Saccharomyces cerevisiae S288C: one gene and its partners. Changing the gene in region 2 together with the main gene of any one other region gives a genetic interaction. Each region holds a gene or a part of one and is shown on either strand. Other genes may lie near its edges. The genes, in order: DOT1, DPB11 and RAD9.

Region 1 (3,839 bases), on a different chromosome or scaffold from region 2:
CTGGAATATGACTTTGTGCTAGTGTTAGATAGTCTACATGGTGAGGAGAAATTATCTGCTCCTATTTTTTCCATATTGCACTCCTGATTTAAATTTGTTCTCTGCCTCCTCCTTCAATTATTTTCCTTTCCTTCGCATATTGCTACTTTTTAGCTTGAACTTCTTTTGTTAATATAAACTGGTACTTTACTTTTTAGGTACCTGGTCCACGGCGCCTTATCCTTCTTTTAATTCATATTATTACCTACTCTTATTCTCTCCCTTTCTATTTTTTTATTTTTTGATTTTTATAAGTTACACTTGTGTACATGTTATTTCTACTTAGTTATTCATACTCATCGTTAAAAGCCGTTCAAAGTGCCTCATCTGGTATACTTCACCGGCGTACCTCTGTTCCTCCTACCTCTTGCAGCAGGGCTGAATAAACTTTCGTCCACATCCTCCATCACTGTTGATATATAATACTCTCCGCCACTATGCGTCCATGAAACACTATCCTCCTTAAGATCATACCTTTGCACCTTTAATCTATTGAAGATGTTCTCAACATTGTAGAAGTTGATCTGATAAGTGAGGCTTCTTAAACTTTTCAAACTTATGATCTTACATCCAACTTTTGCCGTTTGTAGTATCTTTTCGACTTTTTTATTCAAATCTTCATCAAATAAAAAATTATTTACGAGGATAACATCGCACTGAGGAATTAGTTCAGCGACCCTGTTATTGTCCACAAAGCTTTTCTTCAATGAAAACTCCACGTTGTTCAAACGCATCCCATATAACTTACACCTCTTCTTTAGTTCCTCGTACTGCAGTATAGTTAAATCGCTAGCATCATCCATGATTTCACATCCGAAGCTTAATGCACATCCACATTCCAACGCAGCTTGTACTACGCAATTACCTACTCCCGAACCGAGATCCATGAAAGTGTCACCCTTCTTCAACTGGCATTGTTGATATACATCAGATAGGAAATTGGGCAAAAGTTCTCCATAAACATAATTGCTGAATGCTTTGTAATGTTTCAATTTATTCGCCTGCGGATGGATACTCCTGGTATAGACGATATGCAAGAAGTCATGAATGAATGAACGAGGAATTTTATCAATTGTTTCTAAATGGTCAATTATTCTTTGCCTAGGAATTTCACGAATCATTTTGTTGTATAAATTTATAGCATTCACGAAACCTTTCGTGTCAGAGTTATCAAATGATGCATTTAGGTCCGGTAGTATAGTTTCCTTCAATTGTTCAGCATAAGGTGAAGGTAAAAAGACCAGGCAGCTGTATTCAATTAATTTACCAATTTCACTCATTGGATTATAAATGGCTGTTGACCTTTTGAAGTCGACTTTGTACTCTTCCATATAATTTGAAAATAAAATACTCTGCAACTTTGCTGTCGTTACTGAGGAAGTGTCGTTATCTGATGTCAAGCTCGTTGGCTGTGGAGAATTTGTTCTTAAACTAATGGATTGTATAGGAGTTCCAGAATATATTTCATGTGATCTTAAGTACTCTATGTCAAATAATGGATATTGTAACCGTAGACACGGGCCATTCCAATCAACAAATGTTGATGAAGGACTATCGCGATCATTCTTCTTGTTTGCCCGACCTTTTTTCAATGGCTTTTTTTCTCGTGCAGTATCTATTTCTTGCTTTGAAATTGGGGTATGTTTATGGTTAGTCCTGCCATTTTTTCCTTTTACTTTTGCAGCTTTTGGCTTCTTTACATCCTTCTTCGTGGTGGTAGATGACTTCTTCCTTGTGTTTCTATTATTGGTTTTCTTGTGAATGGGAGGTATAACCTTCTCCACCAGCGGAACCAACCCATTATCCTTACCCTTGGTGTTTCTATCTCTTAAAAATCCTCGAGGTAAAGATGACCCATATATTGGATCGTATTTATTAGCTTCTTCTAATAAATTTTGTACTTGCTTAGAGAGAAGCGTACCTTTAGAATAGCTTGAAAGCGACTTGGTTTGCATATCGGTGCCTTTCTTCTCATCAATAGGTGATATTGAAGATTCCTGAGAGTCTAAGTTGGGGGACGACATAATGAATGAGTCTGAGTTATTATTTGATATACTTTCTTGACCGCCCATTACTGTACAACAAAATGTAACCAAAGCGCACAATTACTGGTGACCTCCTTGATGAGGACCTCAGTTATTTTTCAAGGCAATTAAGACGACGAGATGCCCTATATTCGAATTATGTTTATCTCATTGAAAGCACTTACCGGTCGATTTTTCAATGTCCCTTTTCATTGACGCGTGCGAAGGCGTCAGCAGGATTATGCATATATTGCTAAAAAAAATGGCACGTAAATCATTACTTAGTTTCTGGCTTGTTATACTATTGTGAAGTAAGTGTCTAAATTCAAGAACAGAAAAACAAAGAAAGTCACTCTACGGTCTTTAGCCGTAACATTTTTTCACTACAGAGAAAATTCATGCCAGAGCTCTTTCATCCATAAAAAGAGGCGACGACGCTTTCGACTCTGAAAATACAAGCTTTCATTGGAAACAATGTAGCGAAGCAGCTGACATTGGAATGCACTAACAGAAACTAGACAGACAGGTAAATGCCACACCATTAGGGAATATGTTTATTCCATCCTCTAGTTTTCTGGCAACAAATAAGATAAGGCGGTTTAATTACGTGAAAAAATCCTACCTACGGGTATTCACCGCTTCTTTCTCAAAGGATTTCTAGGAACTTGATTCGATCTCCAAGAGTACATCCTGGAATTTTATTAATAAAGCAGACTTCACTATCTATGACTACTTTTCAGATTCAAGTATGCCTATTCAAGTAGGAAAAATTCTCTTGCAGAAGAACGGCCAGTTATGGAAAGGGTAGAATTTATCGCTAATTTAGTAAGAATTGGAGAGAAGAAGTGACCGGGTGGCGATATTCTGTTTATTGTAGCACATTCACAAGGGGGGGGGGGAGTATCCCGTTCTTCAGTGTTCCTGTTGTCGTATTTAATATCGAATGGCATAATTCAATTGGATAAAGAAAGAAATGTTTTTAACTAAAAGATAGATTCATTAACAAAGCTTACAAGAAGCGCATGGCCTTCACTCGAATTGTTTAAAAACAAAGTGGTCAAATTATTCCAAAATCTTGAAAGACTCCCGTTCCTTGAGTTATTTGAGTTTCAAAGTTACATTTCTGAATTATCCCAACAGTTCTCAACAAGCTGGATGTTCTGGTTAATAGAGGTGTCAAAATTTCCAAGATTGGCTCATTGAACGATCAAGTGATGCTTTTTATTCTTCATCGTGGACTTTAGTGCAACATCCAAATATTATTTAGAGCGTTATATGTGCCTGGTGGATAACTTCAATATCCAATCTTTCTTCTTCATGTTATTAAATTATCAGTAAATTAATTAATTTAGAATACTCTGACTGTACCACGATGAAGGAACTGACTCAATTTTTTATGGGACCAATTTTAAGTGTTGGTTTCTATTTTTTACGAAGACAATAAAGTTTACAAAACGGGGATAACGTTTACGATAACGTTTACGATAACTTTTACGCTGGCAACATTGGGCACGCAAGGAAAACAACAAAATGTCAGAGCTACATAATTCAAAATGAATAAGGTTTGGTAGAAATTCATTTAATTTCCCTTGGTGCATAAAAGGCTCATCGAAGAGACTAGACTACACTTATTATGTGAATAGTTGAAACAGCCGTATCAAGAATACAACAATTGGGTACCTCAAACAGCCAAATGGAGAGACTTGAAAATATAAGCTGAGCGGCCTGAGGCAGTATTTATGGTAATTTATATAAAAAAAAATGCTAAACTGTTGG
Region 2 (3,839 bases):
ACTACCGGTATGGAGTGGAATTTCTTGATATATTCAATTTTCCTTTTCATCGAATTTCTCAAGATTGAATTATTTTGAAAATCTTTTCTGTTATTATCACCAGGATCATCATTATTGTTATTAATGCAAAACTGAGTAAAAAGATCGCTAAATTCATTCGACCATAACGGATGGGTTTTCGGGATACTGGGTAAAGCTGCTAAGTTGATTAGCAGAATGTCAGTGGATTTATTGAGGTATTCTACATAATTGATGCCCATTGGTTTTAGAAGATTTAATACTTTAGTCAGATGTAACAGCTCTACGCCAGAGAATCCAGTGATAGTAACATTCAGAAAAGGGGAAGAAGAAAATTCATGATGCAATAACTTTGAAGAAGACGAAACTTGAAACTCTATTGTGCTGAGGAAGGGTTTTGACCATAAATCTATTGGGTGTAGTAATTTTTGATAATACAAGCAGCGTTCAATGAAAAATTCTGTAACTATACCATCATTATCATCTATAATCTCAGGTAAATCATTGAAGGAGTCAAGAGCTTTATTACTTGGAATGATGTAATAAGAATGATCGTAAATGCCGCTCAAGTAAGACGTCTCAATTTTACCCCCATTTTGAACAACAATTTTGGTTAGTATTGAACGGTGATTGCCAGGAAAAATATGATGAATGATAAACGCACAATTTTTGAAAATCAAAGTACTATTATCACTTAAATCTTCTTGTTTGTTATTTATCGATAATGGTGACTGCCCTAGTACTGAAAAATTTGTCTTACTATGCTGCTGTAGAGACATTGCCTTGTCCCATATTTTTTCACCCTTTGGTTTAAATTTATTCAAGAGGGATGATGTTTTCGGGAGCGAAGGAGTCAGGGTACTGGAGGATTGCTGCCGCTGCAGAGAGGATTGGGCATCGATATTGGTTGGAAAGGTGGTGTTTATTTTATCCCAGCAATCGCAAGAGTTTGATCCGATTGAATCATAGGGCAGGTCTTTAATATTTGGTAAAAGATAATAGGGATCGTACGGTAACAGTGCGCTTCTTTTTTGGCAATCGAGAATCCATTTGAAATGTACAATAGGTATATTTTGTTCAATAGCAGCGTTAACTCTTGCTCCTAGTAAAGTATCCGTAACAAAAATGGATATCTGCCCATTCTGACCTTGATCATCGTCATCATTGTGTGAAGAGGTATCTTTGATTACAAAGTTTTGATAGTTATAACTAGAACACCCTAACTTTTTAATACTCCTAACCAATGAATCGATGGAAGTTATGTTAGTGTCGGTTATTCTGCCAATGAAGATATTGAAGTTATGCAAATATTTAAACGAAAATCGCCGGTAAAGTATCTTCAGCATCTCATAGGTGGATCCTGTCATTGTTGCCGTATTAGAGTCCGGCAATATATTTTCTCCAGACAGCCAGAGCTGATAAATGTCATCAATGGCTTGAATGTCAATAAATATGATATCGAATCTATGCTTCACCGCAAATTTAAATTTGTTTGTATTGGTGGTGGACCCAACAACAAGGACATTAACTTGTCTGGTCAAATCTTTAGAAAATATACCTCCTAACTTAATAATTTTCTTTGATATTTTTTTAGCTAAGATTTCATTATTTATTGCAGTCGGACAAAATGTTATTCCTTGAAAGGGCTTCATAGTAATATTAATGCTACTGATAAAATACCTGCCATACTAGAAATAGAAGACTTATATATCACGTAAAATTTGTCTCTTCTTATTCATCATGTACATAAAACAGTACAAACATTACCAATAGTACTATATAGCTTTACCAGGCAATACGCGAATAGTCCATGCAGTTTTTCTTCTCTTATACTGATGAGGGTAAGTTTTGCATTTGATCACCGCCGTATGCGAAGCGGAAAGAGCAAATGCGTTGAAAGAAACCTGGCGACAATAGGAACCACGAGTTCAAGCTAATAATGATACCTCAATGATTATGCCCAGATTACGTTATGTGACTAAAGTAGAAAGGTGAATAAATATAAGTAACGAAACAAGGTTACATGGACTCTTCAATTAAAGAAGGAAAAGGAAGGATTCTTTTGCAGGCAGAAAACATTGAAGTTATATCGCAACAATAACGATGTAGTTATTATGACCTCATAATATGAGAACTTTTTCCTCAAGTATTTTTAAGTTATTCTGTGTGTCATGACTCTCACTTCGTCATATTTTATGTTAGTGCACAAAATGCGAGGTGTGGGTGCAATCAAGACTCCGATCCATTTTCGCCGTTCGACCGGTGTTTTGGCGGCTAAATTTAAGGGCGTGATCTCAGAACTCGGCGGCAAAAAAAAAAGTATATAAGGCAGAAAGCTTTCTGCCTCTCCGATTTCCTCTCCTTTGTTTTCTTTTCCGCTTCAATTTACAATCTAGTTCAGCGGCTAATCCTCTTTACCATTGTTTTCCGTTTATCCTTTGCTCATTCTCCTTTGCTCGATTTCTTTTGCTCGTTTTTTTTTTTTTTTTTTGCTTCTTTTTTTCTTCTCGCTACTCTGAATAGACGATGGCCAAGAGGAAATATGGCAGGTCTTATTCCCTCGATGATACAGATTCCTGCAGCAATAAAGTCCTGATAGTACCAACCGGTCAAAGCTCCTCTAACGCAATCACTGATTTCTCTGTCAGAAAGGCGCATGCTTGCGATAGATGCAGACTGAAAAAAATCAAGTGTGACGGTTTAAAACCGAACTGTTCAAACTGTGCGAAAATTGACTTCCCTTGCAAAACCTCGGATAAACTGTCGAGGAGAGGTCTTCCAAAGGGGTATACAGAACTACTAGAAAAAGAGGTCGTCCGTTTGACAAATATGAATGCGAGTTCCAGCGCCAATGCAAATTCTAATTTGCCGTTCATTAATGATACATTTTATTGTTTTGATAATTACAACACTCAGTCTGAAAATCAAAGGTTTTTGGGACATTTGACATGGAATATTCTAACTAATACTTTTCCTACTCAAAAAGCAGTAGTTTTTACAGACGATCGAAATAATATTGATCTACAACTGCAACTGTTAACAAATTTTTTGAACCTGAATGGTGACTTTAATCATCTCCCAAATTTTCTTTTACTTAAATATGATTATAACCTTCAGTTTTTGAAAAATTTGTTGTCTGTCATTATTAAAGATTTTTTTAAAAGGCAAAATTCTTTGCTACTTCTATTATACCCTACAAATTTATGGAAAAATTTGCTATTAGACAAGATTAATTCAACCGCAATGACAGGTGAACCCATAACTCTACTGGCGTTACTTTATATTATTCAATTTACTTGGTCTTGTTTTGATGATTTCAAGCTTTTTAAAGTCACGAAGCTTATTGTTTCTCTGACAACAAACAGCAAATTAGACTTGAAAGTTTTGCAATTGGTTAACTTATCCATCTTTTATTTTATGGGCGCCTCTGTTGACTCTTGTAAAAGTAAAAGCTCGTTAACAGAACATTCAAATGTAAATTCAGTAATATGGACCAATGATTTGCTAAACCTAAACTTTACAAATATTTTGAATATGGGATTGTACATAAATCCCAAAAATTTAATTCCTATATCAGGCAACAATAATAATAATAAATCTAATGAAGAGGATGATAGAATAGTGACATTTTGGTGCTTTCAATTCTTAAGCTCATGGTGGTCCTTAATTCAAGGTTTACCAAAGTCCAACTTTTTAACTGAAGAATTTCAACCGAAATCAATCTCGGTTCTAGAAATCCCCAGGCTGAAGCCCTTTGAAATTTTGTTAAACTTCATCATATATTCTTTGGATGGATGTAATTTGTTGAATATCTCATCTTT
Region 3 (3,600 bases), on a different chromosome or scaffold from region 2:
AATCAAAGCTACATCCAAAGACTCTGTGCCATCTTGTTTATCTGAATTGCATTCTTTATTATCATCATGAAGCTGAAGTGAGTTCCCCTTGCTTTTTTTTATCTCCATTAAAGTTTCTTCCTCGACTACCAGCTTTTTTGGAGACGTTTGAAGATCTTGCTGCTCTTCAACTTCAGGCAGTTCTTGGGTTAGTTCAACCTCGCTCATGATTGTACTTTCCTTTTTCGTATCAAGCTCATTTGGGGACATACGTTCTGTTTCATCACTTCCTGAATCAGATATTTGCTTTCCTGAAAGTTGTAAGTATATTCTATCGGTTATTTCCTTTTGTTCGTTGAAATCAGATGAACCGGCTATGATAATGTCATCTCTGGTAGCTGCATTTGAAGAATTTTGTATATCGTTTGAAAAAACATTGTTTGTCTCTACTTCTCTCTCGTGTATATTAAATGTATCTTTTTCCTTCGGAATAGGTGAAGAATTCGAGGGTTTTGACATCGTATTCTTAGATGGTGAACTAGTCTCAGGAACTTCCAATATGGGTTCAAAATTAATCCGAGAAAGAGTAACGGGAGTTTCAAAGGTTGCATTCAAAGCATTTTGTTCAGGAGAATTTATTATTTGGGTTTTTATTTCTTCTGTCTGGCCAGTAGAATGAAAAACAGGTCCCTTCTGAGCAGATATGCCTTGGGAAAGCGATGAAACAATTATCTGTGTCTCTAATTCATTATTTGTTTCGGTATTGAAACTTTTAGATAAGGGTTGCGTATCGATTGAAATACTATCTAAAGGCATTTCCTGTGTTCTTGGATTATTGACTATTTGCGTAGATCTATTGCTATTATTTTCCGTTTTGTCTTTTGAGTATCGGAATATCCACTTCTTGGATGGTTCCCGATTGTTTACACTCTCACTGGAATACATTTCTTCTTCCGCATTGTTGCGTGAAGGGGTGCCAGACACAGCACTATTAATATCGATATCTAAATTGTTCACGTCATTCTCTCTACCCGAAACATTCAGATTCTTTTCCAATTCGTTAATCTCCTCTGATTCATTACTTTGTATTATTTGATTGTTCCGTTCTCTGAGATCATCTGATGAATAGTTCTCACTTTTCTTTTTTACTGGATTTTTTTCCTCGATAGCTCCTATGTTATCTTCGTTATTGTTAAAAACCTTGTTTACATTTCTTGTGGTCCGGCCATTCCCGGTAATTTTGTTCTTGTCATAAGAGCTTATCGAATTAGGTGATTCTGCTGATATCATGATTTGAGTTTTTTGAACTCGTTCATCTTGCATTCCTCCACTTTTACTTAATTCGTCTTTATATCTTTTAGGTGTAACAATTCCTTCCAATGCACAGTCATAATTATCAGCAGAACGTTCAGCCATCTGTACAAAAGTGGCATCCGCCTCTGTAACTTCTAATGACGCATTTTCTTCTCCATCATTCTGCTCTCCATAATAGCAAAACCCAGTATCTGACTTCAACTTTTTGAAGGTTTTCTGTTCCAATGGATCAGTTGGAGTTTGAAAAGTCATTTTTTTTCTTAACATCAGAGGAGTGTCTTCCAGATCGGAGCTTTGATATTTGGTCAAAAGATTTTCTTTACCAGGGGTTCGATTGCTTTTGAAAAAGTTAGCAATTCGGTCAAGGTCAGGAGTCCTTTCATTATGCAATATGTTAGCATTTGGTCGATCATTATCTCCTACTTCAATATTTAACTCATCATCATGTCTTGGACTCTCGTCAAGTAATCCCAGAGATTTTTGAAATATCTCACTTGTATTCATAAACTTGACAGGATTTGGATTTGCTTTGGGACTTCCTTCGATTATGTTTGTGCTATTTACCTTGTTTTCCAACGGATCAACGGGAACATTCATTTCGTTCATGTCGCCATCAGCCAAGGGAGAATGCAGTGCTTCCTTTATAGCGCTTTGGGTGACTCGATCTGGAGAGCTTTTCCATTGAACTAACTGGCCTGACATAGCCCTGATGTTGAAGATTTTCTCACTATGCTCTTTTCTATGGCGTTTCTCTATCTTGCTCACTTCACATTGCTCATCGTTGCAAATATCCACGAACAAAAATCCTCGCGTGTTTAATCAGAACTGCACTCTGAAAATTCAAAGCCGTGCCAGTAATAAGAAAGACACAAGGTTATATAGAGACACATCGAGAAAGTATATTATAGATTAAAAAAATTTTGCCTTATACTTTAGTGCACTTGAAAAAGCAATAAAATTTTATTTCATATGTATCTAACGCTAACAAGGCCGTATATTTATTTAGACCTTATTTTGATGGGGAGCTGCCAACATTTTCTCCAATAAATCAATCTTCCTTTGATAGTCTTCAATAATTCTGTTTTTTTCGTCTATTTCTTTGTGTATTTGATAAGCATTTTCATCGTTTGTATCTGGATTCCCAAGTGTTCTACTTGCACTATTTCTTCTGGTGGAAACATTGCTGACACTTCCCCTTGAGGTTTCGTCGATATAGCTATAGTTTGGAATATCATAGTTGTTTTTCTTCTCAGTTAACACTTTAGCCCTATAATTTTCATACAATACGTTGTTTGTTACATCTTTTAATTCCTGAAGGTGAGAACCTAACAGTATTGCTTTTAAGTATATAAAATCGGAGGTGTTTTGGTCTTCGACCACCAAGCTACCCCATTCGTACGTTCTGATATGCTCAACCCTATTTTCCGAATTTTTATTAAAAGTTTTGCTGCAAACAATGGCAAATGGCGATATTTCCTTGATCTTCGTGTCATTATCGTATTTGGATTTTGCTGAACTGGAATCGATGTCCATATCGTACAGAGCTAATGTTTCGCCTAGGGTGTCACTTTTAAAATCAAAAACACGTATATTGTTCTGAGAGATTTCTTGGCGCACAATGTCTTTGTGTAAATTTAATTCAGTTTCTGTGAGACCATCGGCTTTTGGAATAATGGGAATTAAATTAACTTTATCACAAATCGTTTTCATTAACTCAATATCAAATTTTTTGACTCCTCTTGGAGTACTCTTCAGAAAGTATAAACAAACATGAGGCCTCCCATCAGTTTCTTTTGTGTTTCTCTTTATTCTGACCTCTTCTTTTAAAACATTTGCAAACTGTTGGTCTAAGTAGTTTTTTATAACAACAGAGCTTTGTGAATTGTCGACATTGTCACCGCAGCCTGGAAACAATATGATATCTAATGTTATGGGTACGCCTAGTTCATCGTTCAAATACACTCTTCTGGTGACAAGCTTCAGCCCAGGACTCAAATGGGCTGTTTTATATCCAGGATCTATATCTTCGATGGCGTTTCCATTTTCTGGTGTTACATTATTTGTCACTTTATCATCATCATCATCATAATCCCCATCAGAAAGCGATATATCCTGACCGCACAGATTGTTTAAAAACGTTGATTTGCCGCTGCCTTTTTCTCCAAGTAACAAAATTGACAACTGCAGTCCTTTCTTGTAACCCTTGCGACGTCTTAACTCATCTCTGCTGAGAGTATGTTGTTCAAGAGCTGAGTGATCTTTCATTGGGAACATTTGATTATTTACTGACTTTATGTACGTATAGTA

Evidence for each region.
Region 1: mutations in DPB11 (region 2) and DOT1 impair growth when combined (synthetic growth defect), as found in Saccharomyces cerevisiae (3 studies listed by BioGRID, with this or other methods).
Region 3: mutations in DPB11 (region 2) and RAD9 impair growth when combined (synthetic growth defect), as found in Saccharomyces cerevisiae (6 studies listed by BioGRID, with this or other methods).

What each region holds. Positions count from the first base shown.
Region 1 is NC_001136.10:1,340,765-1,344,603, reverse strand, and holds DOT1 (histone methyltransferase DOT1), read right to left. Parts: upstream 2,112-3,839; coding exon 363-2,111; downstream 1-362. Other genes in the region: adenine phosphoribosyltransferase APT2, read left to right, coding at 1-87. UniProt on the Saccharomyces cerevisiae protein: Histone methyltransferase that specifically trimethylates histone H3 to form H3K79me3.
Region 2 is NC_001142.9:263,382-267,220, forward strand, and holds the start of DPB11 (protein kinase activating protein DPB11), read right to left. Parts: upstream 1,671-3,839; coding exon 1-1,670. Other genes in the region: SIP4 (Sip4p), read left to right, coding at 2,545-3,839. UniProt on the Saccharomyces cerevisiae protein: Has a role in the initiation of DNA replication. Required at S-phase checkpoint. Required for the association of PSF1 with origins. Also required for the proper activation of RAD53 in response to DNA damage and replication blocks.
Region 3 is NC_001136.10:901,486-905,085, forward strand, and holds the start of RAD9 (chromatin-binding protein RAD9), read right to left. Parts: upstream 1,996-3,600; coding exon 1-1,995. Other genes in the region: septin SPR28, read right to left, coding at 2,296-3,567. UniProt on the Saccharomyces cerevisiae protein: Essential for cell cycle arrest at the G2 stage following DNA damage by X-irradiation or inactivation of DNA ligase.